Linked DNA regions of Diceros bicornis minor. The protein of the gene in region 4 interacts with the protein of the main gene of each other region in a pairwise test. Links are inferred from orthologs where the notes say so. Each region holds a gene or a part of one and is shown on either strand. Other genes may lie near its edges. The genes, in order: GKAP1, E2F1, LAX1 and NDN.

The links.
Region 1: the proteins of NDN (region 4) and GKAP1 interact in a two-hybrid assay, tested with the Homo sapiens proteins (2 studies listed by BioGRID and IntAct). The link is inferred for Diceros bicornis minor from reciprocal best matches to the Homo sapiens genes NDN and GKAP1.
Region 2: the proteins of NDN (region 4) and E2F1 interact in a two-hybrid assay, tested with the Homo sapiens proteins (2 studies listed by BioGRID). The link is inferred for Diceros bicornis minor from reciprocal best matches to the Homo sapiens genes NDN and E2F1.
Region 3: the proteins of NDN (region 4) and LAX1 interact in a two-hybrid assay, tested with the Homo sapiens proteins (2 studies listed by BioGRID and IntAct). The link is inferred for Diceros bicornis minor from reciprocal best matches to the Homo sapiens genes NDN and LAX1.

Annotation. Positions count from the first base shown.
Region 1 is NC_080761.1:10,021,722-10,029,442, reverse strand, and holds the start of GKAP1 (G kinase-anchoring protein 1), read right to left. Parts: upstream 3,004-7,721; 5' UTR 2,856-3,003; intron 2,419-2,855; 5' UTR 2,317-2,418; exon of another isoform or gene 2,284-2,316; intron 1-2,283. UniProt on the Homo sapiens protein: Regulates insulin-dependent IRS1 tyrosine phosphorylation in adipocytes by modulating the availability of IRS1 to IR tyrosine kinase. Its association with IRS1 is required for insulin-induced translocation of SLC2A4 to the cell membrane.
Region 2 is NC_080758.1:26,081,603-26,089,163, forward strand, and holds the start of E2F1 (transcription factor E2F1), read left to right. Parts: upstream 1-4,540; 5' UTR 4,541-4,632; coding exon 4,633-4,893; intron 4,894-7,561. UniProt on the Homo sapiens protein: Transcription activator that binds DNA cooperatively with DP proteins through the E2 recognition site, 5'-TTTC[CG]CGC-3' found in the promoter region of a number of genes whose products are involved in cell cycle regulation or in DNA replication.
Region 3 is NC_080743.1:101,886,882-101,894,144, forward strand, and holds the start of LAX1 (lymphocyte transmembrane adapter 1), read right to left. Parts: upstream 3,012-7,263; 5' UTR 2,764-3,011; exon of another isoform or gene 2,423-2,763; 5' UTR 2,316-2,422; coding exon 2,227-2,315; intron 1-2,226. UniProt on the Homo sapiens protein: Negatively regulates TCR (T-cell antigen receptor)-mediated signaling in T-cells and BCR (B-cell antigen receptor)-mediated signaling in B-cells.
Region 4 is NC_080744.1:76,965,348-76,971,949, reverse strand, and holds NDN (necdin), read right to left. Parts: upstream 2,163-6,602; 5' UTR 2,072-2,162; coding exon 1,094-2,071; 3' UTR 519-1,093; downstream 1-518. UniProt on the Homo sapiens protein: Growth suppressor that facilitates the entry of the cell into cell cycle arrest.

The DNA.
Region 1 (7,721 bases), on a different chromosome or scaffold from region 4:
AATTACAGTGAAGTCTCCATTTTAGACATACTCAATATGCCACTTATCTGACTTATTAAATACTACAGTATATGTTAGTGCTTTCTGTAACAACTGTCCTTCCTCAGATTCTGTGCTCCAACAAAACAAACTACTCAAAATTTCCTGAACACACGTTTAGTTTTACGTGTTCATACCTATATGCTGTTCCCTTTGCCTAAACTGCCCTCTATCTCTTCCACTTAAAACTTGTATTCATTCCTCAAAATCCTGCTCAGGTGCTAGCATCTCTACGAAGCTTTCTCTGATCTGCCCCTCAAATTAATCCTTCCTTCCTCTGTTATATTTCTTCACTTCATATGTACTTTTATCACTGAATGGGTTCCATTAAAATTATCTGTTTACTGTCATGCCTACACCCCCCTACACCCCCTACACTCCCCTACACCCCCCTACAACCTTGATTTCAACATCCCGAAAGGCAAGGGCCTCTTCTTTCTATCCCTAACAAATACCACAGGACCTGGCATACAAAAGATAAATTTACTGAATTTGGGTTGTTTTTTTAATATTTACATTCCCCAAGTACACAGTTATTTATGCACTGAAAGATGTGCTCTAAAGTAGAATGGACAGCAAAAGAAAATGCAAAGCGCACTGTAGCTAATCCCCAATTCCCATAATGCAACTGTGAATTAACAAGGATTATTACCCATTCAAAGTTGTTTCATTATAAGTGCCATTCTACCAACTGATTATCACCACAACTAATTTTGTTTAGGAAACATATTTGTTTAGAAAACAACATTGGTTTTAAAGTGTTGATTAAAAAGAATTAGGCTACATCAGGTGCTTCAGTAAACTACTGAATAGCCTAAACTGCAAGAGCAGGATTTCTAAATGGCTGGTACTCTTGGTGTCCTCTACCAAGCTTCTGAGGACCAGGGCCACTATTACATCACCCCTCTAGGCTAAAACCTCTCTAGGGTCAAGAAAGATGGTAGCCGTAGCCATACCTCAGTCCACAGAACCACAATTAGGGCACTTCAAAACTGATATATGTATAAAATTCTCAGTCAAGAACAACCAAATATATCCTTTTATAAAATGAATGACAGCCATCTTCCATTAACACTATCAACCAGTTAATCTGATCAAAAAAGAAAGTAAAACAATGGAGATGCCAATTAGTGTGGCCTCGCTGAAATGTAACTTAGACTTTAAAAAAACAGTGTAAGATGAAACGGCACTGAGTATCAGTGATTTAATACCTGGTGAAATTTTTTTAAACTGTATTATTTCATGTTCTGTTCCTCAAATAACACAACTAAACAGTATCTTTCACTTTGGCTTCTTATAAATTAAGGTGCATAACCAATAAGTGCCAAGTGCATACCAAAACTTTGCTCCCAACACACTTATTGCAAACAAACCACACAAACTTAATGGATATGCCCTAAATTCCATTTTGTCTTCATAGTTAAATACTGCCCCTCCTCTCCAACCTGCAGTCTCTAAAGGGCCTTCAGCCCTTTCCATGGGCTGAAAAAATCTAACCAAAACCTAGAAGCAGGTGCTGAGTGAGAACCTAAGGGACTCTCCCATGAATAAAGCACGTGTATTTTCATTTGCCCCAACGTTCTTTGAGTCAACTTCTAGGTTCTTGCTTTTAGTCCACAGACCGAAGCCACTATACTGGTATCTTATAGATAAGTTTGTTAAACCATTTATGACAATTAAGAAAATCTCCCATTGATCAGAATTTGACTAATATCAACTACAGTGTTATAAACCTGTTGAGGGAAAAAATCTGTATTTCCACAGATTAAAGATTTTTAATATTTTAATTCGCCGTCAAGTTCATCTAATATTCTGATAGCTGCAAGTCAAATTTATTAAACTGAGGATTCCGGTTACAATCACGAGCACATTTACTACATAAAGAAATAGACAATACTGAACGGTGTAGAAAAAATTTCACTGGCTTTTCAGCAAAAAAAAAGACGATCTTCCACTAGTGCTTCTAATGACAGCCGTAGCACCTACTCAGTTGTAAAATCCAGCTAAGAATTAAAAATGTAAAAGCAGCTGGAGAGAAAACATAATCAATTTAATAAACCATTTTTGTCATTACTATCCAATATCCACTAAGCACCCTAAATGCTAGAGATCTGACAAAAAGTCTGCGAGTCTCCCTGTTCCAAACAATAACAGGAAAAAACAAAATCCAAAACTCGTCTCCACACTTTTCCATAGCCAGCGGGGAAGAGGAGGAGCACTTTCTTCAAAAGTACTTCACTATACCTCATTCATGAAGGAAAGGCAAATTTCACCTACAGGCTGTTAACCGATGCGCCAAAACTTCGTCGCACAAAGTACACAGAGAAAGAAATAGGGCTGTGCGAGACCTAACTCGGGCAGAGAAGCGGCTTCGAAAACCTGAAAGGAAGAAAACAGCGAGTCAGGTTGTCGCTCCAGAAATTTCCGAGCGCCCGACACCCCGCGAGGGAGTGCGATGCCCGCGGCGGGGAGGGGGCGGCGGCACCTGTCAGCCGGCGGCCCCGCGACCACTGTGGCCCCGGGCCCCGGCGCCCGCGGGGTCTGGGAGGCGCAGCCACGGCCGGGGCCTGGGGTCCGCGCGGGTCTCTCTCCGCCGCCCCCGAACCCTGCGCGGCGCGTCGGGGCCGCGGCCCTTTCTGAGAAGCGGCCTCCCGCGCCCTCTGCCCAGAGCCTCCGGCCAGCGAGGCCCGTCACCTCAGGCCGAGTCCCCAACCGCCGAGCCCGAGGCGCACGGAGCAGCGCGGCCGAGCCGTCACGACCGCCTCAGGGACGCCGGAGCGGACCCCCGCCAAACGGCCCGCCCTCCACGTACTCACCGGGCCTCCCCGGCCGCCGGCTCGGCCCTTCTCTCCCGCCTCCCCCCGCCGCCGCCGCTCCCGGGGCGACAGCACTGGGCGTTGGGACGGGGCTGGGTCAAGTGTCGAGGGGCGGGGACAGGCTCGCACCCGGCGGGGGTCGCGAGCGGGCGCCGGGCACTAACGGGCCCCGCGGCGCCGGGGCCGGCCGGGCTGGGCGGAGCGCGGCTGCAGGCTGCGGTGAGGGGCGGGGAACGCGCGGCTGCGAGCCGAGGGCGGGAGGGAAGTCCCGGCGGAGGGGGCGGTGTGAGAGCCGCGGGGCGGGGCGGGGGCGGGGTCGGCGCGCCAGCCGGCGCGCGCGGGGGTTTGTTTATTTTCTCGGTTGGTTGCGGCGCTGGCGCGTGGGTAGAGGTTCGCCGGTGACGTGAGCGCCCTGAGTTGGGGGAGAGGACCAGAACCACCTGCTGGAGAAGGGGAGCTACGGGGGCCGGGCAGGGTCCAAACGTCTCACGTAGGCTGCGGCGGCGCGGTCTTTGGGGTTAGCGGGAAGAGAAGGGCTTTCCCGGAATGGGTGGAAGGAGGGAAGCCTCCTGAGAGAATAGGACTCCTAGCCACTCACCAGCAGTCGGCAGCTTCACCTGCATGGTGGAGAGCAGATAGACGGCCCTGGAGTGGAAAAGGGCCGTGACCTGGGGGCCCGGGTTCCCAGCCTGTCGGGGCTCGACCTCCTGTTAGTGAAGTAGGGATGGTCCTGCAAATCAAGATTTGAATAGCGAGACTACATCAGGCCACAGTATGGAAAATAACGAACGTTGCTCAGTTCTCTGTAGAGTTACACAACACTTGGACGTTACCTCTTTTGGTGCTCCATCAGGTAGTGGGATTCCCATTTTACAAGCGGAGTTAAGTAACTTACCCAAAGCCTCACGGCTAATAAGTGGCAGAGCCGGAACCCAGCTGTCCTGATTTTCGAGTTCTGTGCTGCTTGCCACAGCATCGTATTATCTCCCTAAATCACTTTGATTCAACTAATACTAGACACACACACCCCCATAGGTAAGATGCTACAGGGTTACAAAGGGGAGTTGAAGATGTTATCCTTGTCTTCAGAGAGTAAGGAATAAAACAAAGATAAAACAGTTGTAATAAAAGACAAACCATGATAGGTGCTGTGTGAAAAATACAAAAGAGTACTGCAGAAGATCCAAGAACTGTTCATATCTGGGGGGTCAAGAAAGAAGCAGCATGGAGGAAGGAGGCATTTGGTATTGACCTTGAAGGAGATGGGGATGGTTTTCCAGCAAGAAGGTATAGCATGAGAATATGAATCAGTGAACGTCATGTTCAGGAAAAAGCAAATGGTAAGATTCTGGGGCATGTTGAGAAATGGCAGAGACAAAGGAGAATGGGGCCTGGGATGTAAAGTGGAAAAATTTGTATTTATTTCAGTACTTTTAGTTTTCACGGTTTAAAAGTTTTGGGGAAGAATCTCTTTGTGAAGGGATATAGAAATTGGAGATGGGAAACTTGCCAGATAGACGTGCAATAGGCCAGTTGAAAGGTAATGATGGGTCTGAACTAAAGGTAGTGCAGGAGGAGTTTGAATGAGCTTGGTTGAAAGAGGATGTGGAAGCAGAATCAACAGAATTTGGCAATTGATTAATTGGTTTACAGCAAGAGAGGATAGCATGAGGCTGTGTATGAAGGTTAATATAAGAAGGAAGAGAAAAAAATCAAAGATAGTGGAAGTTTTGAGTTTGGAGATATTATAAAAGAGAGAAAAGAAACAATAAGAGATAGCAGGAACTGCTTTTTGAGAGATCAGTTTAGATTTGGACATTTTAAGAGTTTGAAAAGTTGTCAAGACAACCAGATAGAAGTGGACGCTAAGAAGTTAGACATAAAAGTTTTGAAGTATGGGAAAGAGGATTGAACTAGAAAATAGATTGGGAAGTTATCAGCCTTGCAGTGATACCACTGTGAGAGAAAAGAAGAAAACAAAGGGCAGAATCTTGGAGAACATCTTCCTTAGAACCTTGCTACTCAAAGTGTGGTCAATGGCCCAGCAGCACAGCATCTCCAGGGAGTTTGTTAGCAAGGTTGAATCTCAGCCCTCCCCCACCCCTCCAGACCTGCTGAATCAGCATCTTCAATTTAACAAGAACCCCAGGTGATTTGTGTGACATTAAAGTTTGAGAATCTCTGACCTTCATGAGAGAAGCCAACAAATCAAGAAGGGATCTAATCTAGATGAGAGAAGCCAGCGAAGAAAGGGGGAGGAGAAGAACCGGGGTAATGCAGAATCACCGAAGCAAGGTAAAGTGGAGTTTCACAAAGGCAGAGGCAGGAAGGAATGATGATCAGCAATATCCAAAACCACAGACGGTGAAAAGCACAAGGAAAGAAGGTATGTTTGAATTTTGTGATTAGGCGGTGTGGTCATTATGACCGTGTTGTTCTAACTGAAAGCTTGGAAACTGCCCTTTTGTGATCAGGGACAGCCTAGAAATATAATCCCTCCAGTCCTCACATAAATGGGACATACCAAAGTAGGCTTGTGAATTTGATAGTGGGACAAAGCAGAAGTTCTTTTCTAGTTGCTTTTATTTTCTCAGTGAAATAAGAAACAAGATCATTTTGGCAGACTGTTAATTGTCCATCACAATTTATTCTCCCCTTCTTCCTGGGCACACAGACTATTTTTCTCAGCCGCTCTTTCAGTGAGCTATGATCATGTATTAAGTTATTGCTAATGGAATATGAGCAGAAATGGTGTCTGGCACTGCCAGGCCAGTGTGCCTCCTTCATGTGTTTTTCCCTTCTGCCAGCTGGATTATGCAGATGACCACAGCCCCTGGGGTTGACAGATTCACCAGAAAGAAGGTGCCTGGATGAAGGAGAGCTGTCCATGACCTGGAACACCCACTCTGGATTATTATGTGAGCAAGTTATAAATTTTTAGTGAGTTGGAGCCATAACATTTGGGGTTCTATTTGTTATTGCAGTTTAGCCTACTCTAGCTAATGTAGTCATTAACTAAATAATGAGGGGGGAGTTTGAGAGGGAGGAGGAGAGAGGAAGAGAGGTAAAATAGTAGCCTATGAGTGTGGGAGAGGGATTTGACTAGGGAAACACAGTAAAGTTCCCAGGCACTACTAAGGGCCCACCTGAGTGAGTGAGTGGTCATGAATTTATAGTGAGACCAGTCAATGTGGTTGTGCATTTTTCTCCAGCTTTATTCAGTTGCTCACCTGCAGTTTGGGATTAACCAGGACTGAGATTTGGCCAAGCAAGAATGGTGGGGAGAGATAGGCAAAGTAGGTGAGGGTAGAAACAAAGAAGGCATATAATTTCAGACAGGGTAAGAAGTAAGGCTGTGAGATGGGTGGAGAGCGGTGAAAAGATGGTAGGGTGAATAGGCTGGTGTTTCTGATCAGGTTGAAGAATTGGTGGAGTTTAGGTACTATAGAGAATGACCTGAAACGATAGGAGATGGGTTGGAGAGTGGGAGGCTTGAAATTAAAATTAGCAGAGAGGCTCTAATTGTCAGTAATGTCAGGGTGCAGGGAATGATCATGAGAGGGGGGAGCTGAGACAGCAGAGGACACAAGATCGTGTGAAGACAGGTGGTCAAGGAATCGAGAGGCAGTAAAGATTTGAAAGGAATATATATATATACACACACTATATATATATAATATAATAAAATATGTATATATTTATCTCACAAAGAATTATCCACAGGAGTGATGGTAGCATTGGAGTAGTGATAATGAGCCTGGTACTAAAATCTCTGAATTAGAGAGTTCAAGGCCATCAGTGATTTAATATGTTAAACTCTTGCAGATAATCATGTTTCATTTAAACAGGCGCTTTAAAGTTTTATGTTACTAATGTGGGATTTCTAATTGCTTCTTTTTGACGTCTCATTACAGATGATAACTGCTTTCTTTAAGAGGAAATGCCCATCTGTCTGTATTATAAAATAAACACCTGCCAGGCTTCCCAGTTTAAGTGACTATGCTTTAAAATTTGTCATAGACTACTCTGTTCTACCTCCAAAATGTATCCTCAAAGAGATACATCAAAAGTGATGCTAGCTTTGCCACATCAGATAATGCACTGTAAATGTTCAAAATCTACGTGAAAAACCTCCTGTATAACTTAACAATAAATAGGGATTGACAAGAGACCTGACAAATTGAAAAGAAGATGAATTTGTAGCTTAGAAAATGATATAGGGGGGCCGGCCCCATGGCTTAGCGGTTAAGTGTGCATGCTCCGCTACTGGCGGCCTGGGTTCGGATCCCGTGTGTGCACCGACGCACCACTTCTCCGGCCATGCTGAGGCCGCGTCCCACATACAGCAACTAGCAGGATGTGCAACTATGACATACAACTATCCACTGGGGCTTTGGGGGAAAAAAAAAAAAAAAAAGGAGGATTGGCAATAGATGTTAGCTCAGAGCCGGTCTTCCTCAGCAAAAAGAGGAGGATTAGCATGGATGTTAGCTCAGGGCTGATCTTCCTCACAAAAAAAAAAAGAAAGAAAAGGAAATGATATAGGGGGGCCAGCCCCGTGGCTTAGCGGTTAAGTGCAGGCACTCCGCTGCTGGCGGCCCGGCTTTGGATCCTGGGCGCGCACCGATGCACCGCTTCTCCAGCCACGCTGAGGCCGAGTCCCACATACAGCAACTAGGAAAATGTGCAGCTATGACATTCAACTATCTACTGGGGCTTTGGGGGAAAAATAAATAAATAATTAAATAATTTTTTAAAAAGTTAGAAAATGATATAGGGATCTGGAGGCAGACTGCTAGGGGTTGAATCACAGCACTCATCCCATGGGGTTGTTGTGAGGATAAATATGTAATATACGCAATACAC
Region 2 (7,561 bases), on a different chromosome or scaffold from region 4:
AAGTAAGGTCACTGAGGGAGGCAAGCCAGGCAGGGACTCTGGTGGCCTGGAGGGTCAAGGCTCTGACTAAACGGGGGACAGCAACTGCTTAGCACTGCGATGGCCTGGCTAGTATTGCCAGATATTACTGTTTAAAAGGAAGCCAAATATTTCAATTTTTATACAGTATTTCCCAATTTAAAATTTTTTAAACTAATTCATAATTCAGAAAAAATATTTTGTGGGCAAATTAAATCACATCTATGGGCCAGTTTGCAAACTCTGCCTGTCCTGTTTTCTCACTTAACCCTGACACCCATCCTGTAAAGGAGCCTTTGCCCCTCGGCCTATGGATGGGGTAAGCAAAGCCCTTCAAGTGGGTGCATCACTTCCTCAAGGTCATCTAGCCAACCACATGGCTGGGGTCTGCCTGACTCCCAAGGCTTGCTTCCATGTTAGCCTCGGATGAGTAAGAGGCCTGTGTTCAGACACAGCCAGAAAGAACTGGCACGGTGACAGAGCATCTCCAGGGACAGTAAACCGTCAGTCAAACAGAGAATTCAGTGTAGCAACAAGGGATCATTCGAGACAAACGTGATGCTGCAGACATAAAACTCCCCACCTCCCTCTGCCAGAACTCAACAATGGATGTCTCTGTGCCCCTTAATAAAATTAAGTCACTACAGAATCATTTCTCCCAATTATGCACTCGTTATAATGATGGGATGTTCCTGTTTGGAGATTTTTTTTTTTTTCAAGCTAAGAGTGTATGTTTAGGGAGGTGGTATATGTAGAATAAATAACTTTGAATTATTTGTGTCTTTTGTCAAACTTATTAATGAGCATATTGTGCAGGTACATAGAAATAATTCTGACTCTCCCACTGGACTATGAGCTCCAGGTATCAGAAATGGGTCTTTTTTGCTTCCAGCTGTTTCCCCAGCACCTAGCATAATGCTGACACATAGTAGGTACTGAATAAATATCTGTGGTTTGAATGAGTGAGGCTCAGAGCAAGTGAATTGACTCGTCCAAGGTCACACAGACCAAGGTTCCTTTTGCATCCACCTGATTTAGAAGCCCATGCTAGGGCCGGCCCCGTGGCTTAGCGGTTAAGTGCCCGTGCTCCGCTGCTGGCGGCCTGGGTTCGCATCCTAGGCGCGCACAGACGCACCGCTTCTCCGGCCATGCTGAGGCCGCGTCCCACATACGGCAACTAGAAGGTTGTGCAACTATCTACTGGGGCTTTGGGGGAAAAATAAATAAATAAATAAATAATTAGAAGCCCATGCTATCACTTCTACACTATCCTGCCTCTTGGCAAGAATCGCGGGGAAAATGTCTCCAGGCCCAGGATCGTGGGCCCAGGAGCTTACACCCCTTTGGACTCCTCTAGAGTAAGGAGTTGGTGGAGGTGGTGATGGGGGTGAGCACCTGCTAACTGAGCCATTATCCACCATAATACCTTTTGGAAACCACACATTGTAATCTTGACAGCCCGAGCCTAGCTCTTGGGGTGTTTACAGAGGATGACATGGTATGAAGGGCAGGCCCTCCCGGGTTTTGCAGTGAAACAGGCCAAGTTCTCATCTCAGTTCTGCTTTGCGACCTTGAACTGCACTTCCTTCCTCCTGCACCATGTGGATAAACAAGCCTCACTTATGGGATTATCAGATTGAAAGGAGATTATCAATGGAAGTGGCTGCCCAGTAACTGTGGATGTTCTGGAAGCCTCCCAGCCTGAGGAGAACTGTTGATGTTGAGAACAGCCTTATCAGGCTCTGCCAGGCTTGGGGCCAAGGGAACCCATCTCTCAGGCCTTTGCTGCTTTCAAGTGGGTATTAATAGATACAGAATGCCCTTATCTCTTCCTTGATTTCACACTGGGAATTCTGATCTTCGCTCCTTTCTGCTGCAGCAGAACAGGAGAGATGGTGGGAAGGAGAGCACTGGCTTCTACCTGGGAGGCTGTGTACTTGAATACTTTGGGGAAAGGCAGGGCTTTGAAACACCTCTGGCTTTAGCCTCACCAAGCCTGAATAATAGCCTTTCATATGCTAGGTAAGCTTGTGCCCTTTGGGCCTCAGTTTCCTCATCATAAAATGGGGCAATAATAACAATATCTGTCTTTTCCAGCAACCAGTACAGTGCTTGGCACATGGCACGTGCTCAATAAGTGTTTGTTGAGTGACTATTGGGTATGAGAGTGCTTTACAAAAAGTGAATGTTACTGTTATTGAGACCCTTTGGGAAGGTGTGGAGGAAGGAATCTCCATCTGGAAAGGGAGTGTTACTGGCTTATCTCACCCTCTGTCAGGGTCTGGCTTGGTTATTTGATTTTATTTTATTTTTTTTTTGTGAGGAAGATTAGCCCTGAGCTAACATCCAATGCCGATCATCCTCTTTTTTTGCTGAGGAAGATTGGCCCTGAGCTAACATCTGTGCCCATCTTCCTCTACTTTATATGGGACGCCGCCATGGCATGGCATGGCATGACAAGCGGTGCGCTGGTGTGCACCCGGGATCCGAACTGGCGAACCCTGGGCCGCCAAAGCCGAGTGCGTGCACTTAACTGCTTGAGCCACCGAGCCGGCCCCCTGGCTTGATTATTTTAAATGAGACCTACCATTCCAATAGTAGCTTCTCTAACCGGGGAGGAGAAGGGGGACAGGCTGGCCCCAGGAATGGGAATCCAGTGTAGGCCCCATTCTATCACTGGCTGGCTTCACAGGTCCCTACCCCTGAATGGGCCTCAGTTTTCCCATCTGTGCAGCAAGAAGCTTGTGTAGTCTTTGTGGTTCCTTCTAGTGCAGACACAGTCTAGGATCTGCAATGAGTGATTTCACAAACTGCTTAGGAAACTCCTGCTGCTTTCCTAAACCACCTCATAATTTATAAAACACTTTCAGATCCCTTAGGCTTTTCATCCTCATGGCAGCCCTGGAAGGGGCCAGGGCAATGTGCCCATTTTACAGATGAGGAAACTGAAGCTGAGAAATACCCTCAAGGGGCTGTAATTTGAGGCTGCACCACACATTTTGGTTATACGGGTATACCAATTTGTTCTCAAATGGGAAAAGCACAGAAAAATCACCTGGAATGGGGATCGGGGGCTGCTTGTGAAAATGTGGATTCCTGGGCACTTAGAGATTCTAAATTGGCAGGGCTGGGGTGGGGCTAGAGTTAACAAGTGCCCAGGTGATTCTGAAGCCAGGGGCCTAAGGACTACTCTTGCAGAACCAAGGCCTCCTTGTGGCATTCTAGGTGGCCTCTGGCATCAGCCTCTGTGTTTCTTTCCTAACCCTTCTAGGTACCTGCTCTGGGCCAGGCCAGTGTTGGGAAGAGGCCCCAGTCTGGTAGGGGAGGTAGATGGAGAAACCCAGTGTGTGGTCAGTGCTGGAACAGAGGCAGCATCAGGCAATGGAGGACTCTGGAGGGCTCCCTGGAGGAAGTGATGTTCATACTGGGCCTAGTGATTTGATTCTTGTTTGTGTCTTAACTACTTTTTTTCTTGTGGGTCATCCCCACCAGATGGCAGGCAAATTCGTGTAAATCATGAATTTCACATCTCTGCCCTCAGTGCTGGCACAAGGCCTGACAGAGGAGGGGACAATATTGGTCAAACCAGCTGACCTGCACAATGAGAAATGGCTGATGGAGAGGTCCCAGGGCCTCCAGATTAAATGCATTTTCATGCTCAGCACCCTCACCTGCTCCCTTGGTGAGGTCTAACATGGAGTCACTTTTATGGTGGAAATTCCTCATCGTATCGTAAACATGTGTTACCTCTCTGTTCCCCTCCTCCCTTTTTCACTAAACTGCGAGTTCCTTAGAGCCAGGAGTCAAGAATGGGGCACAGAGCAGGCTGTCTAAACGTTTGTTGAATGAATGAGTTCAAGCAGAAGCTGTGTATGGGCTATTGAAGGGATTCCAGCTATAAGGGAGCTTGCAGGAAAATCCCAAACTGTATTAGGCCAGAAGTCCCACCCCCATTTCCTAGCAGCCCCCTTCTGCTTGGGCTCTGGGTGACAGGGGCTTTGGAGGTGGGCCTGAGAACCCAGAAAAGAGGAGGGGCAGTTTCTAGAGATCTGGGCTGAGGGTATTGGGGCTACAGGTGGGGGAGGGGTGGGTCGGGGGGGTCTGGGGGTCACGTGGGGTCTGCTGATGGTGAGATGTGCAGAATAGACGCTCAGTCCTAAGGTCTCCACAGAGGATCAGCAGCGTGAGGTGTGTCCGGGGGCGGGGCCACCACGCCTCGGGCCGGGGCCGTCCCGGCTGCGCGCGGGGAGTGCTAACGCGCCTGGCACCGCCCCGACAAAGCCTGCGCGCGCCCGGTCCCGCGATTGGTCGCGCCGCCTCGCGCCGCCGCCCCGTCCCGCCCTCCGCCGCCGGTCCGGCGCCCTGCAGCCAATGGGCGCCGTCGCCGTCGCCTCCGTCACGGCCCGGACGGCCAATGGTGGCAGCGCTCGGCGGCTCGTGGCTCTTTCGCGGCAAAAAGGATTTGGCGCGTAAAAGTGGCCGGGACTTTGCAGGCAGCGGCGGCCGGGGGCGGAGCGGGATCCGGAGCGGGATCGAGCCCTCGCCGCGGCCTGCCGCCATGGGCCCGCGCCGCCGCCGCCGCCTGCCCCCCGGGCCGCGCGGGCCGTGAGCGCCATGGCCGTGGCCGGGGCCCCCGCGGGCGGCCCATGCGCGCCGGCGCTGGAGGCCCTGCTCGGGGCCGGCGCGCTGCGGCTGCTCGACTCCTCGCAGATCGTCATCATCTCCACGGCGCAGGACGCCAGCGCCCCGCCGGCCCCCGCCGGCCCTGCCGCGCCCGCCGCCGGCCCCCGCGACCCCGACCTGCTGCTCTTCGCCACGCCGCAGGCGCCCCGGCCCACACCCAGCGCGCCGCGCCCCGCGCTCGGCCGCCCGCCGGTACGGACACCAGGGACTCTGGGCTGAGAGCGCTGCCTCGACCCCCCGCGCAGACCCGGGCGGGGCGCGGTGTTTGGCCCGGAGGCCGCGGGGGCGGGGGAGGGGTGGGCTGAGGCGCCCGGCCTGGGCGGTGCCGAGCCTGGGCTGAGCCTCCGGGCCCCGCCCCAGGGTGCGGGGTGACCTCGGGCCAGTCCTTGTTTGCTTCTCTGTGCTCTGGGCCTCAGCGTCCTCACCGGAGCCTCGCGTGGGTCAAACTCAGAGATAATAATGGCCCACGTGTATTCAACTGGCGCAGACTGCATGTCAGGCCTGGCAGACTTCGAGCCAGCTAAAACTCACAACCATACTGAGAGCTCGGTGACCCATCTGAACTGAGGCTCAGAGAGGGCAAGTGACTTGCCCCGGTCACACGGCTGCAAGTGGTGGGACTGGAATTTGAACTGAGGGCTGCTGGCTTCAGACCAGAGCTTGTAGCTGAGTAGTGGGCATGGCTGCTTGGGGAGGTGAAGGAGGGTGTCCTGGGGCCAGACCGTTGAAGAGCCATTGAGGAGATCCTCCTTCCTGCCTCAGCGCTAGATTGCCAGGTGCAGGCCTGGGCCTCTGGGGACAGGCCTCCTGGCTGGGAGGCCTTCTCTGCAGGGGCGGGGTGGCTGGGCCAGCTGCTGATCCCCTCCCTCTGCCTGTCCTTCCATCTGCCACCCTCCACCCGCCCAGGCTCTGGTTGCTATGGAACCTCATTAATCAGGCAGGCAGACCCCTCTGCCCCTGTGGAAGTACTGGGTAGGCTGGGCCTCTGGGAGCTGGAGAGGAGGCCCCCCACCGCAAGGAGAGAGTAAACATCCCTGGGAGATGCCTTGATAAAGTGCTCCCTGAACAGCAAGAGGCTTAAGACCAGTTCAATCTGGGGGGTCCAGAAGAGGTGGGGGAGAAGGGAGTGGAGGCCTGATGCTTGGACTTGTGGGCTGCAGGACAGGGTGTGGAGACCAGTTTGACTGGCACAGCTTGTGAGTGAAGGTGGGGCGAGCAGGAGGGGTCTCAGCAGGGGGCTTGGAGCAAGTGGGAGGGGTGAGGCAGGGCCCAGCGCAAGGAGGTGGAAGCTGCCCAACTGCTGATGGGGGCCTGGGTGGCAGCTGGTCCCTGAGGCATCCCGGCAAGGCTCCCCCAATCTCCTTGGCTCCATGCCCAGTGCTGCCTTCCGGAATCACCAAGATGCTAATACTAATAACAATAGCAGCCACCATTGTTTTGAGACTGTTTTGTGTGTCAGGCTCTGTGCCAAGCACTTTACCCAATTAACTTGTTTAACCCTCTCAACAACCTTCCCCTTTTACAGATAGGGAAGCTGAGGCCTAGAAATCTTAGAACCTTCCCTAGTCATTCAGCTAGTGAGTGGTAGGACCAGTCCAAATTTCCCGAGCAGTTAACTGCTGTGCTAGGATGCCTTGCCTCCTAGAGATGCTAACAGATTGAAGGAAGCCCAGGGCCCCTTCCTCCTACTGAGTGAGGAGGAGGGGGTCCCAGGATTGGGTCACCTGGCTTGTCTCCTATATCCTGGTGGCTTGTCCCTGCAGGTACCAGCTTGGGACCTGGACAAGTATCCTCCATTGAGCTGACTGACAAGTACATACAGGCCCAGGACTGTGGGTCCTGCCCTCAAGGAGCTGAGCTCCAGGCTCAGAGATACTTCCAGGGATGGGGCTGAGGAAACGTGCCCTCCGCTCCACCCCCAGTGGTGTTGGGGCAGCCTCACTGGGCCTGAGCAGTCCATTCATTCAACAGTTGTTGAGTTAGTGCACGCCCATTAGGTACTAGGCACAGAGGCAAGTAAGGAGCCTGTGCCCTCACAATACTTAAGGGCTAGTGGGCATTTTCTGCTGGTGGGCAGGGATGGGGGGTCAGCTTTTGCCCTCTAACACCCCCAACTCTTGTGCCTTTGAGTAGCCGCTGGCTGTATGCGCTGTGACCTCCGCCGACCCTCTGCACTGGCATTTGTTTGGGGCAGTCCTTGAAACAAGCTACAGGCTCAGCTTCTGCACCAGTGCGCATTCATAGAGCATCTCCTGCATACGAGGCTCTGCAATTCAGCCATTCCTCCTGGCTCTTCGTATCCACCTCTACCCTGTTGTCATGGCTTTAAAAAACAAACTAAATATAATACATATTTACTGTAGAAAAAGAGTTAAGAGGTGAAAGTTGAAGGGGGCAGGATCTCAGCCCCATCCATCCTTCCTTCTCTTTTCTTTTCCTAAGCCTATTTTGTGTGTTTTTTTAAAGGTGGTTATGACAGCTTTCCTTTTCCAAAGTTTTAAAAATTGTAGTTTTTCCTTTATTTCCGTGTTCAGACAGTGCATTGTTCACACTTTACAGAGAAGGCAACAATTCCTCATGGAACCTCTCCCCATACGGAGGTTCCTCCTGAAATGGATTCTATAATAACAGAAACCGAATCAGAGAAAACAGGTTTCAGGAGTTTTTTAATCCAAAAAGGGATCATATAAGTGCATTTCCCTATAGCATTTTTCTTGTCTTTGAGAGGATTCTGCGTCGACCTGCCTCAGTCCTTGACAGCTGCTGGTATTCCTGGGGCTGGATGAATCACGGTTTTTGTGGCCCCCTCCCGTGGATGGGCATTTTGGGTCATGAGATTTTTCACCAGTGTTCTGTGTGT
Region 3 (7,263 bases), on a different chromosome or scaffold from region 4:
ATGTGAGTCTAGGTCTGTTTGGGCCCAAGGGTTGTGCTAGCTCCAGAGCACCGCACTGTCCTCCAAACTCGCCACATCAAGTCCATCTGCCCCTGCTTCCCCTCATCCTGCTCCTGGGCTTCCTGTCCTGCTTGGAGGAGAGGATTACTCAACTTACAGCTACGGAGTGGCCCTGTGACAGAGTCCAGCTTGCGTGCTTGAGTGACCCCCACAGCACCAACCTGAGAGCTGGTCTCCAAGCAGCACTCCGCTGTTCTGTGTAATTTAACCAGTGCAAATGCACCAAGCAAGGCCACGCTGCTTGTAATTCTCTGGCAGGCCTGGAGTTCCTGCTCTGCTTTGCCTACTGTAACAGGAAGCAGCCAATCGAGGTTCCAAAAGGAATCACTAGCAGACATGCTACCCCCAAATATTAGAAACCAGGTCATCTAGCAGGGAAGGTTTTTGTCCTCCTGAGTTCTAGGCTTGTTTACCCAACTTTATACTGGAAATTTCCACCAGGCTGCCCAATAGACATCTCAAACCAAATATGTCTAAAACAGAACTCTTGCTCTCCCCCCACAAAGCTGCTCCTCCTTTGGTGTTTCCCATCATCTAGTAGCTTGGTCAAGACCCTGGAGCCATACTTGACTGCTCCCTTTCATTCATGACCCGCTTCTAGTCAACCAGTAGATTTTGTCTTCTCAACTCCTGAGCATCTATCCCAAACCCAGTCACCTCTCGCTCCTCCACTGCCACCACCCTGCTCCAAGCCACTGTGTGTTCCCCATGGACCTTTGCAGTAGCCTCCCTAATGGGTCTCCTTGCTTTCACTCTTGGCCACAAAATACTATCTTCACATGTGAGCCAGCGTGATTCTCTCAACAGTAAATCAGATCGCGCCCCTCTGCTTGCAACCTTCCATGACTCCCCATCACACTCGGGATGACACCCATGGTCCCTCCCCAGGGAGGAATTCCAGCACCTTCTGTTCTGGCCTCTGTGACCTTCTGACTTCATTTCCTACCCCTTTCCCTCTGACTTTGACTGCCAGGACTCCTGGCTGTTCCTTGACCACGCAAAGCACAGTCCTGGCTCACCTGCCGCTCCCTCTCCCTGGAGCCCTCCTCTGCAGCTGTCTGCGCAGCTTGGGCCCTCATTTCATTCAGGTCTCTCCTGAAATAGCACCTCCTCAGACAGGTGCTCCTGGGCCACACCCTGTTACTGTCAGTCCCCATACTCTCCTCTGGTGTTTCTTCCTAGCACTTACGACCAATGGACATTATAGTCTACATTCATTTGCTTCTCTGCTTATCTCTGAGTTGCCCACTTGGCTGTCAGCTCCAGGAGGTCATGGACTTGTCTCTCCTGCTCACTGGGTGCCTGGAACAGTGCCTGGACTTATTGGGGCTTGATGAGTATTTGTTAAATCAACAAGTGAGTGAATTCATAAACGAGTGAATGAATATAAAAATAGTTTTTTTGGGGGGTGAGGGCTGCAGGGTTCTGACAGCTTTATTAATTCATCCCCCATCAATGCTCTTGTCCACCTGCAAATGACATGTGTGTGTTTGTCATGGTAATAACATTTATTTCCCCAAACTAGAGTGATTTTAAATTTATTACGGTTGAGTTGTACTGTTATCATAGCACTGAAATTTATACCTACTAGTGTTCCTACCCTTTCAACTGCTGATGGACTTTTTATTTTTGTTAGCCCAATGTTGAAAGTTTTAGCTGTAAAATTTACATCCATGATTAGTTCTGTGAGATTTTGTGTCCTAAAGACATATCTTTATCGTATCTATGATTACATTTTTCATTCATGGCAAGTTTTTAGGACCTAAAAACACATCCTTGAGATAAGTGGGCCTTTTGTTTCCATCATGGCAGGACCTACTTGTTTTTTGAGGAATGATTGGTGGGATCAGGGACAGGAAAGACTGAGGACAGTTATCAGGACCTCAGGGAGGAGAGAAGTCCACCAGGCCAGGCAGCCAGCTCTCAGAAAATCCTGTGTTGTCAGAGCCTTCCTCTTCCCCAGCAGCTCCCTCTTCTCCTCGACACCTCTTCCTTTCCTCCCAGCAGTCCTGAGCAAACCTCTCTGAGCCTAGAGTTTGGTGGTCTCAGTGGACCTGAGCCTGGTTGCAAGGGGTGGCAGCACTGCTGGGGTAGAAGCTGCCAGGGTAGAGCAGGGCCCTCTGTCTAATCAAGGGAGGGTGGAGCTCACCACCCAGAGCCACTCACCTGTCCAGGCTGCTGCGAGTGACCTGCAGAGTGCCGGGCTCCGCCGTCCTCCCTCTGATTTCTGAGAGGGTTGGGGTGGTGACAGCCATTGTCACAGGAACCTCTCTGGCTTCAGCTCCTCCTTCTAAGCCTCCTTTCAATCACAATCAGCCAGCCAGCATGTCTGCCACTTTCCTGGCTCTTCCTAAGTTGTTGACTCCCAGCAGAAAAGGCAAAATTGGTTTGTGTTTTACATATCATACTGTGTGCTATAACCACTTTTTTTAGTAGACAAGAATGACAGAAATCCTCCTGGTTTTCATGTCTTCCAAACCCTCCCTAATGTACAACTCTTAACTCTCAAAATTTCTTCTTAAATCTTTATTCACCAAAGTCTCTCACAAAAAAAGTCTATTGGTTTTTATTTCTTCCTTTCTAAAGCTCCCAATCTGTCTCTCTAGAACTTTCTTTCCTCCAACAAACTCCCTGCTTTGTGCCTACCCCTGAAATGTCAGGCTGAGTTGACCCAACATACGAAGACAACAGGCTTGGTTCTACCTGGACGCGGCTACAATGCCCACTGCAGAGGCGAGGGCTCATCCAGCGTGGGCTCCCCCGGCGAGGCGGCTCCGGGAGAAGCTGTGGTCTTTGCCTCTGGTAGAAGTGTGAGGGGCACCAGGGCGAGACTGCCAAGAGGCCCTAGAGAGGCACCGTGAGAAGCTTCTCTTCCTCCAACCCCCAAAGCAGAGAGAAAAAAGCAAACACTGTGCCGGAATGGAAACAGAGAGTCAGTCACAGGAAGCGACACCACCAACGTGCTAACGGAGCGTGGGGCACAGGAAACGCTGCTCAGCTCTTACGAAGAGAAGAAAACTTGTCTGTGCCCCTGTTCCCTGGGTCAGCCAGGTGTGCCGTGCTCTGTGGGAGTGTGACTGAGGCTGGAGCAAGGTGGTGGGGTATCTGTGCTTGTTCACCCTGGGTTTCTGAGACGTCTAGTGTTTTATAAACCTCCAGGTTTATCATGTTTTTTAGCAGGTCTAAGGAGCCTAGGAAGACGCTTTTTAGAAAAACGCAGAGCTCTGGCACCTGCGGCTGTTCCATGGGCAGAGAGTCCAGAGGGGGACAGGTTGTTTTCATAAATGCTTCCCCAGTGATTTTAATGGAGCTGGTCTGTGTTCCACCTTTGAGAACCTGTGCTCTGGGTTTGACCCTCAGAGTGGAGCTGAGGCTGGGTTAGCGGGGCCCTGGAGGCCATCTCTTCCTGAAGGCCTGCCTGCAGTGGCCCCTGAGTGCTGGCTGTCTCCCTTGCAGGGCTCTTGGAGAAGATCCATCCCAGGCCTGCTTTTTGTACACCCCCATGTGCACCCCAAGTGTGCCAAACTTCAAAGATTGCTCCAGATTTGTTTCTAACTCCCTTCCCCTCACCAATCTCCTGAAACTCGCTTTGCATCTTGGGAGAGTCCAAAGAGAAGGGGCCACTAAGACTATTATGAGGGTGTGAAGAAGAGCCTTTGACTTCACTTTCCACAAGGAAATGGATTCCCAGGTGGATGGTAGGGAAGATAGGTGATGCCTCCTCCCTATGCCTCTCTCCCACCTCTTCCCAGTGGACATCAAGGCCCCTGGCCTCCCTGAGCTGTCAGCCCCTGCCCTATGTACGTCTAGGCTCTCACAGGGCCCCCAGGGGAGGGGGCTGCAGGTTGGCCCAGGAAGGCCCCCCAGAGCTCTGCCATTCCAGGTCCTTGCTGCCTTCCTTCCAAGTAGCCTTACCTGGCAGGAAGCTCAGAGACAGCTGGTTCTAGAGCTGGAACCTGGGTCTCTGCCCACTTCTCCTTTGGATCAGGTCTGAGTAACAACTAGGACACCTCACAGGGAAAAAGACCAGCAGTCTGTCACACTGGGTGGTGGCCGGGACTGGTGGAAGAAAGAGGCCCTCAGGCCTGCCCTCAGCCACTGGTGCCAATAGGGGATGGTGTGTGAAGCGGGAGCTTAGAAGGTGGTACACGGGAAGGGTGAACCTCGGAGCTCTGACTGCTACTTAAAAAAAATGCTTTTCAAGAACGTCCCCCTGTGTGTGACCATCTTGAGTCCCCACTTCCCTCATCCACCAGCCTGCCTGAGTCAGACTAATCTCCCCTCCAGTCTTCTGATTTCCTCCTGCCCCCACACTTGAGGGAAACAGCCCCTCAAAGGAGGCTCGCAGGCTACAGGCCAAGCTCCGGGTTTCCAGGCCCCGGCTGCGCCCTCACCCTGCTCTCCATTCCCTCCCGAGGTGCCAAAACCAACCAACCTAAACACAAAATAGGTGTCTGAAATTATTCATCATAGTGTGGAAGACAATTCCTCCTTCTGGGAAACGGCGCTGTGTTTAGAGCGGCGTGCTCTTGTACTTGCCTTTCACCAGCCTCAATGATTTCAGGAGTTGAATGCGACTCACGATTCTAAAGTATTAAGACCGGCTTTAAATTGACAGAACCTATGCACCCAAGTGAGCAGAGCCCCTTGAGGGCAGGGGCTCCATGCTAACTCAGTGATGTTGCTAACAGCAAAACCTTTCCGAATCCTCTTTGGAAGACAGGTGCCCTAGGTGAGGAACATCAGCACGAGTTCAGATCCTAAATTACTACTTGGTTGATCTTGGGCAGGGCCTCCAACCTTTTTGGGTGTTTCCTTGGATGTAAAATGACAGTAATGACAGTGCGTAGGCAATGCTGTTGTGAGAAATAACGGGGCTAACAATGAAAAACGCTTGCTTAGGACTGGGCACATGCAAGAGCTCGTTAAATGGGGCTGCTATTATGTTATTCTCTCATTATGCATTAGGCTCATTTCTTTATACTTAAGGGACTGCTCGCTCTTCCTCGCCTGATGCTTAGCCCGCCGACCTTCCATGTGTTACTTCCGTCTCGAAGCACATACTTGCGGGCCGTCTCCCATTGCACAAGAGGCCCTGGCTTTGCACGTAAGGCAGACGCGGTCCCTGCCGCCGTGCAGTGGTCATCTCGGCTGGCCGCCGCCTTGTACTCACTCTGCATTCCAGGCGGACCCGGCTTGCTGTCACATTTATACTCTGGGCCTTTGCACGACAAGTTCCGTCATTTTAACAGCAGTTTCTTTTTCTCTTGTAAAATTCCAATAAAATCACATTTTAAGAGTTTATACTGGTTATTTCTGGGTTGTGGGGCTTGAGGTATTTTGTTGCTTTCTTCTTTGGGCTCTTATTGCTTGAATTATTACAAAGATCAAGTGTAATTTTTGTAAAAAACAAAATTGTTATTAAAAAAAAAATGTGGCCCAAGTGTCAGCACCTCCGTGAAGCCTTCCCGTCCTGAGAGCCGGGTTCTTGCTCTTCTGTGTCCCCACGGCACCATGCGTGATAGCACCTCTCAGTTGTTGGGATTAGTTGTTTAAATGTCTGTCTCCCCAAGTAGACTTCGAACCCCTTCAGGGCGGGGACTGTGTTGTATTTATTGTTCTCTGGCTTTTGGCACAGTGCCTGACCATAAGAGTTAATTGGGCTCTAAGAAGTTCTCCTAGGTGCTTATTGCTGCTGTGAATTTATGACCTGGGTGTGTAATGGGGCGAGATACTGGGAAATCGATCAGTGTCTAGCCTGTTTTCCTGCTGTGCGCTCATCAGCCAAGTGAACACGGCAGGCCTGCACTGCCTCTCTCAGGAAGGACAACCTGAGGCCCGGTGTGTCTCCTTGCTCCAGGACGGGGTTAACAGCCGCTTTTGTATTTCTAGGCCAAAAAATGCCAAAATTGCGTTGTGTGAAAGACAGCTCCAGCTAGGCTTTGTTTCTGAAGATTTGGGAGCTGAGACAACCACCGCAGGGTGATAGGTGGAGCCTTGATGGCGGCAAGCCCCACCCACTCGTTCATCTGTGTCCTGGAGGCCTTCTCCAGTGCAGACAAGTCTGAAACAGAGAACAAAGGCCGCGAATACCTTCCCTTTAAGTTAAAGTTCTGAGAGAGCAGGGTTAGGACAGAAAGATTTAGAAAGTACAGAAATATTTCTCTCACTTCTCTGCTTCCTGCCCCTGCTCCACCCAAGGCCCTTGGGGAGAGTGAGGAGAATTTGGAAGCAAGGAGTGTGAGCAGACAAGGGGATGGTTTCCGTTCCCCACTTAGGCTAAGCCCTGGTGGAGGAGGGGGGTTGGCATGGCTGACAGTAAGAGAACCCTTCCCTTAAGTCTGGTGACCTCTGCCTGCTTGGTCCTTCTGGAGTTCTATGTCTGGCAGCCTCCACTTGAGTCCTGGCAACCACAGAGCCGGAGTAGAGCCAGCTGGGAGGCACGTCTGGATGAGCACATGTCTGCTGACAGCCCCTAGTCTTGTCTCAGCCGGACGTCCCTCCCCCAGCCCACAGAAGAGAGCCCGTCTGTCCCCTGCTCCAGGAAGGAGGCAGCTCCTCAGCAGAGGGAGCAGGGTGGGCAGTCACATTAGGCATCGACGAGAGCAAAGCGCATCTCAGAAGAAACACCAAGGGCAGCTGGCGTGCCAACAGGAGTCGGAGGCTGGAACAGGGAAGGCACAGGTCAGGATGGTTTTCTTTGCTCCCTTCTTGTGTGAGTGAGTAGAATATCATTTCAATCATTTCATTAACCAGGGCGTCAGAAACAAGCTAGGGTGGCAAGCAGCATGTCTTAATTTAATTTTTTTTTTTGAGCAAGCCTTTTGTTTTCTCTTTTGTGTGTCATAGGAGAGCATGATGGTGGGGCGTGGGTTTACCTGTGGCCCTTGGTATTAGGCTGGGCCCACATGCGGCCTGTGTGCAGACAGAGCTGCTCTGTTCTTCCATTCTCCCTAGATTGCAGCCACATGAGAGCCAGCATAATCCCCTTAAAGTGCAAGATAGATCGTTGTGGTCCTCGGTTAAAACCCTCTAATGAATTCCCATTTTATGAAAGCCAACCTCATAACAGCTTACAGGTTCTGCCCCCACTTCCAACTCTCCATCTCTGAACTCATCTCTTTCACTTTCCCACTTAGTCACCCAGTTCCAACCACTGGCTTCCCTGCATGTCCTCAAACAATCCAGATCTCCCACCTTAGG
Region 4 (6,602 bases):
TGGACTCATTCTGTCTGGGTTCGAATCCTAGCTCCTCCTCTCACTAAACTTTATGATCTAGGTAAAGTTAATTACCTACATTTTTCCTGTGTTTCCTCCATGGTGTAGATGTACTAAGTGCCTGCCTCATCACGCTGTTGTGAGGATTAAATAAAAGGAGAAAATGCATGTAAAGCATTTAGTAAAATGCTTCAGTCCTTAACTGCCCACAAGAGACAGCTATTAATTTTAATAAAATGTAGAAAATACAAGAAAGGAAATTACTCTAAATATTATTTCTATGTGATGTGACTATGAGCATTTTTGCTTTTTCTTTTTATACTTTTTTATATTTGTCAAAGGTTTGAAATGAACGAGTTACATTAAAAAAAAACTATAAACTTCACACATCTATGAGTAATGATAAGTAGTGATTTTCCCACCCTATTAGATGAAAGTTATATTTGTACATTTTGTAAAATGTCTTATTCCCAACCCATACCACTTTGTTTAAAAGATGAACACTTTTCCAAAAATGATTGTATCACAAGAATCTTTAATGTTTACTTTAAAGTTTACTCATGGTGGGGTTGTATTTGTGTTCAGTGAAGTGTGCCAAGTGCCCACATTGAGACCATTTCAGTTCATATCACTGCACTCCACACGGATGGTTCCTGTGCCCAGCAAGGTCAGAGAGAGGGGCCTTGACTTTTCTCTTGGTTAGGCCAGCTTTACTGGTGAGTTCTTCCAAACTCTCCAGGAGCAGTCTACCCCAATACACATCATCCGTTCCATATAAAAGAATAAGCTGGAAAATTTCTCAATGTATTTCATAAGTTTAGCACATCTCTGGTACAAAAATTCAAGAAAGGTAGCACAAAAAGCGAAAGCACCAACAAAGCTTACTTATAAACAAACATGCATCAATCCTACACACTACCTAATAGTACGGAAATGAATACAACATTGCATTAAAAGGTATAAAAGCACTGTACTGAAAACAAACTTACACGTGAAATACTGCACTGTAAATCCTGAATACTCTAATGTCCCACCCCCACCCTTCCACCGCCCTGGTGAGGGTCAGAAACCATTAATCTGCCTCCAGACCTTGCTAGTCCTCGGAGACACTGCTGCGGGGGCAGTGGGCGGTGGGATCGGCCTCCCGCAGAGCTCTGGCCTCCTCCAGAGCCTCTCTGTATCGGGAAGGCCAGGCCTGGGGGTCTTTCTTAAAGACCCTGGCTAGGAATTCCATGATTTGCATCTTGGTGATTTCGCGGCTGGCACGGGAGCCCCAGAAGAACTCGTACTCAGGTGGCTCAACGTGGGGTACGCGCTGGTACTTCAGGTAATTCTGCTGGACGAACTCCTCGGTGATGAGCTTTCTCACATCTCCAAAGGTGGAGTGCTTCTTCCAGGGCCGCAGCCCCAGGATACGCAGCACGTTCCAGACAGCACTCTCTCTGGCGCCGCGACCCTTCACGTAGATGAGGCTCAGGATCATCAGCAGGAGGCCTGTCATGGGCATGCGGTTGCTCAGCGCCACCCTGTCCAGCTCCTCTGGCTCAAGTGCTTTGACGAGCGAGAACTCCATCGTGTGCAGGCTGGTCAGCCTCAGGTGTAGCCCGAACACTCGGGCCAGGATGAGGCTGGTGCGCCTGAGAATGCTTCTGCACCATTTCTTGTAACTGCCGATGACATCCTTCACCATGTCTGGAAACCAGATGATCATCCTCTTCTGGTCCTTGACCAGCACGTACCACATGAGCTCGTGCGCCTTCTGCACCAGCTGGGCCGGGGCGGGCGGCGTTGGGCTGGGCTGGGCCGCGCTCGGGGCCTGGTAGGCGCGGCCTTCCTCCACGGCCTGCTGCAGGGCCTTCGGGTCTCCCTCTTCGCTTGGGGCCTGGGGCGGCGGCGAGGCCAGAGGGGCGTCGGTCGGGCCTAGAGGAGGGCTCTCTGGCCCTGCAAGGGTCGCGTCCTGAGACTCGGGCGGAGAGAGCCCCCCGGGAACCCCAGGGCTGCCGTGCACCTCGGAGTTGGAGGGCTCGGCTGTAAAGCCGGGGTCGCACACATCCTTACTTTGTTCGGACATGTCTGCTCCGTCTGACAACGACACGGCCTCTCCGTCCAGGAGCTCTTCGAGCCTACTCTCCCTCCGCTGACTCCTGGAGAGGAAGTGCGCCTTGCTGCGCACGGCGCCTTCCGCAGCGGCCTGGCGGGGCGGGGCGGCGGAGGGACGGGCCACTGCGCCTGCGCGTCCGCTGCCGCAGGCAGAGCTCCCAGGGACGGGGCGGGGAGCCCGAAGGGGGCGGGTGTGCGTTGAGATCCCAAGGAGGGTAGAGGCGCCGCTAGAATTATGGCAACAGTGATCCCCAGGTGTCAATGTTTGGGCTAAGGAGGTATTGAGGAGGAGGGGAGAGGGATGGATGAGCACTGGAAGAGGAGCAAGTTTAAGAGGAAAGATGACTTAAGCTTCGGAGATGCTGAGTTTGAGTTTCTTAGGGAATGTTCAAGTGGGCATATCCAGAATCAAGTTAGATATGAGAGTCCCAGAAAAAGATCTAGGCTGGTGTGTAAACTGGCATTTCATGGCAGCGAATGTGAGAATTTAAACTGAGAGAACAATCGAGATTGCCCCCGCCCCCCCAAAAAATATAGAAACTGTGAGGAGGATGTCTGAGGTTGGAATCCTGAGAAATACCAATGAAAATTGACGGAATCCCTACCAAATCAGAGGGATTATAAAATAAGAAATGCAGAATATAGTCAATCCATGTGCAAAGGAAACTTTCTTGGAGATGCTATGCTAATGACATTGTTAGTATTTTACTGGTCATTGATTTTGGTTTTCCATTTCCTTTGGGTCATTTTGATTTCATTTTAATTTTTCCATTAAGATCTTATCATACAAAGATTGTCATATTTATTAGCATAAATTTGTATGATATCTTTTTCCTGGTTTGCCCAGCTCCCTCCTTCCCCTGATGACTGCTGCGACCTCTACTCTGTGTTCTGTGGGAACTTCACCTTCTCACAGGGCCCCACCCCCACCCTCTCGCAGCAACTAACTGTTCCCATGTTGGCAGCCACACGCAAATCCCTCCCAAGACTTTTTTTTTAACAAGGGTCCCATAGATCATATCTGGCAGTCTCTCTCAGATGACCAAGGATATCAGATGCAACGTATTGGCAGTTGTGTTTTCCAGTTTCAGAAAACAGATCTGCAGTGGGCAAAAACAAAACAAAACAAAACAAAACTCTCAGAGAAGCACCCATGAAGAAAGGAGTGGGTGGGTGTAGAAGCCTCTGGATCCAGGGTTCCTGAGAGTGATCAACATCCCTGGTCTGAGCTAGCGTGGTCCCTCAGCCCTTCCTGGGTTTCCTCAAGCCAACAGCTTCATAAATATGCCATCTTGTGTCTGGATATTGTCACCTGCAACCCAAAGCATAATTAAATACTGTCTTGACATTTCTAGAGTCCTCTCTTTATTTGCTTGTATCCCTTTCTTATTTTTCACTTTTTTTTTTCTCTCAAGTAGATTGACTTTGAAGCGTTTTCCATGCTGTTTCTCTATCTTTGGATGTCCATGCTTGTATCACATTTAGCAGGACCAGTCCCACACCAGTCTCTCCAGTAGGTCTCCTTAAGCTTTCACCTCAAAAGGATAATTTCTACAGATCTTTGAGATGTGTCTTCGATGGATTTTTTCCTGTTTATTTTCTTCTTCTTCTTTAAGTTATGGATTTCTATTTTTCTGAGTACATCTTACAGAGTTGTGTCAGTTATATGTTTTTTTAAAATTATTTACGAGTGGCTGTTGAATTGATTTATTAAAAACATTTTTCTTGAGAATAATCCTCATTTCTCAGATTTTATCACCATTAATTTTTCTTCCTCTTTTTTTCTTTCATTTGGATATTCTTTTCTAACTATTCGGGTTAAGTATTTAGTTCATTTATGGTATTTCTAATAATGAAAATGAAAGAGACTGTTATTTAAATCTCAGCTCAGCTTTGGCCATATGCCATAACTTTTGCCATTGTGAGGTTATTAAAATTACATCCTCAAATTTCTCCCTCCTAGAATTAGTGGATTCATGAAATTAAATCACAAGCTCGGGCACAACAATTATAAAAGTATAAAAACACTTGTTTATAAAAATTATGAAAGCAATGATAAGAAAAATTATAAAAACGCAACAGTTATAAAATTATAAAAGCTCCTGCTGTAGTGGGATCTCAGAGCTCTGGCCAGAGAGCTGCCTGGGTTTCCTGGACTGAACCTCATTCTAGTGAAGTTGCCTATGTGCAACAGTTGACCCCCACTACTACCACAGCTCACTTCACACCTCATTTCTGACAGGAGGGTTGTTTATTACTGCACAAGAGCCTGTGGATTAGAACTACTATAAGGGATTCTGCTCAGAGAGTTTAAAGCATTGGGACTGACGCCCAAGTTTGAAACCAAGTACATAGTAGATTCCCAGTGCTGCTCACCCTTGGAGCCCAACTGTATGCCTCCTAAAGGGATATCATTTTCTTCCCAGGAAAAGGTCTGCTGAAGAGGGTCCATTTCCCACCAAGAAGGAAATTCATGGAGTGGGGGGTGAAAAAAGTAATGCTCGGGTTAGCCTTTAAGTAGAGAAAGTATACTGCACATGTGTCATGGGAGAGGTCAGTAGCTTGATAGCTATCTAATAAAGTGCCTACCCGTGAACCAGACATGCAGACCTTTAGAAGGATAAGGAAAAGGACAGAAGGCACCATAGGAAAGAAGAGCCATCCACAGCTTCTTTAATTCAAGGGTCGAGATTCAGGGCTGGAGCTCCGGTGATGCTCTGAGAATGCTGGGGATAAATTAGGCTTGCTGGTTATCTCCAGGGCTAGCCCTATTTGATAAGGGCAATGAGTCCTTTCAGGGACAGCAGCTTAGAAGCAAAGGCTTGAAGTTTACAAAATAACTCCCCAGAGAAACTCATTAAAGGCTACTCTTTAAGTCAAGTTTCTGTAAATAGAAGTTCCATGGATGCAGGAAGTATATGGAGAAGTTATAACTTAAACATTCTGCTGAAGACAGTTTTGCTGGTGGGTTACTTCAAACTCTGTAATGTGGAACAGATTACACAGCTGTGGAATAGGCTGTTCTTGGCAGACTCAGGAATAGGAGGAGAGGCCTGTCCTGGCACTGGTTTCCATAGCGAACAGAGGAAGGGGGGTCACCCCAGAGTCTCCGGTGGACAGCGCGCATGCTCACAGTGCGGAGGCCCAGAGGCCCCGAATGAAATGTGAATCCTTCTGGCTCTTTCCTGTACGCATAGGCAGCAACCTCCACCTTAGAGCCCCCATATGGGCCCCAAATGCCTTGCAGGCCAAGGAATTGAGACAGACAATTCACATTAATGTGTTCAGCAAATATTGAGCAATGTCTATCATGTGCCTGAAAGATTTGCATTTTAGAAAAGTAGCTCAGTCTGAGGGGGAAACCAATTGCATTGGGACTGTTTGGCTGTCTGGCTCCTTTTTGTTTCAAAAGAATAAGTGAGGACAGGCTGTGCTGCTTTCCACAGTTGGGAGAGTGGAGGAGGGGACTCAACCCTGGCCCCTCATCCCTGCATTCTCCCTAGGATAACGCTGTGCATGCCTGTCCAACTGAGGCCAAAAGACGCTCACTAAAACGGGAGATCTTCTAGTCCTGCCCAGACCCACAATGTAGCCTGCTGGCACTTAGGAACTGACAAGATCAGGAGTGTCCTTTAGAAATGTCACTAGAATTAAGTCTGGAGTTGGGGGCAGGTGGATAAGGAGAAGCAGAGAGACCATTTAGGAGATCTTTCACAGGAACCCACTTGAGAAAGAATGATGGCTTGCATTTCAACTTCGTTCTGCAGGTATTTATTAAACACTACATTTCAGGCTTTGTGCCTGGGGATATAATGAGAAGGAGAGACATGGTCTCTGCAATCTAGAGAGAGGGTAATTAGTGGAGAAAAGGGGCCATAAGCAAACAAACAAATGAGTATTAAATAATCGTGCATTATTCTATGATGCATATTGCTAGGGAGCAACAATGTTGTCACAGAGAATAGAACAGAGGGAACCCATGTTCAATAGGGATGCTGGGGAAGATATAAATAATAAGAGAAGGTGAAGGGAGACTGTGAGTATCAAGGATGACAAAGATTCCGTCTCAGGGGCAGCTAAGACTGAGCAGTGCCATGTAGCTATGATATGGAGGCACCACTTCCTGAGACTATTTGGAGAGAGGTAGTGGGAAGAGGGAGTTGACATGTCCAGCAAATATCTGGATATATAGGTCTCACGAAAGAGGCTTGGGCTGGAAAGAGAAGTTTGGGAAACAAAGATGGTAAATAACGTCACCCTGAGAAAGCCTCTAGAGGAGGGTTCTTCAAAGGGTAACATCCTGACATGAGGGTGGGAAAATTTTTCATTGCGTAAGAGTGTAATGCACACCGAAGCAGTTTATGCCTCTGTCCCCTTCAAACGCACATATAAATGCCCTCCAGAAATGGGAAAAATGAAAACAAAGTGTAAGAAAACAAAAAGACACTTTCCCCATACACTGCTAAAAGCCCTTTTATGGGCAGTTCAGTCTCTGAGAACCA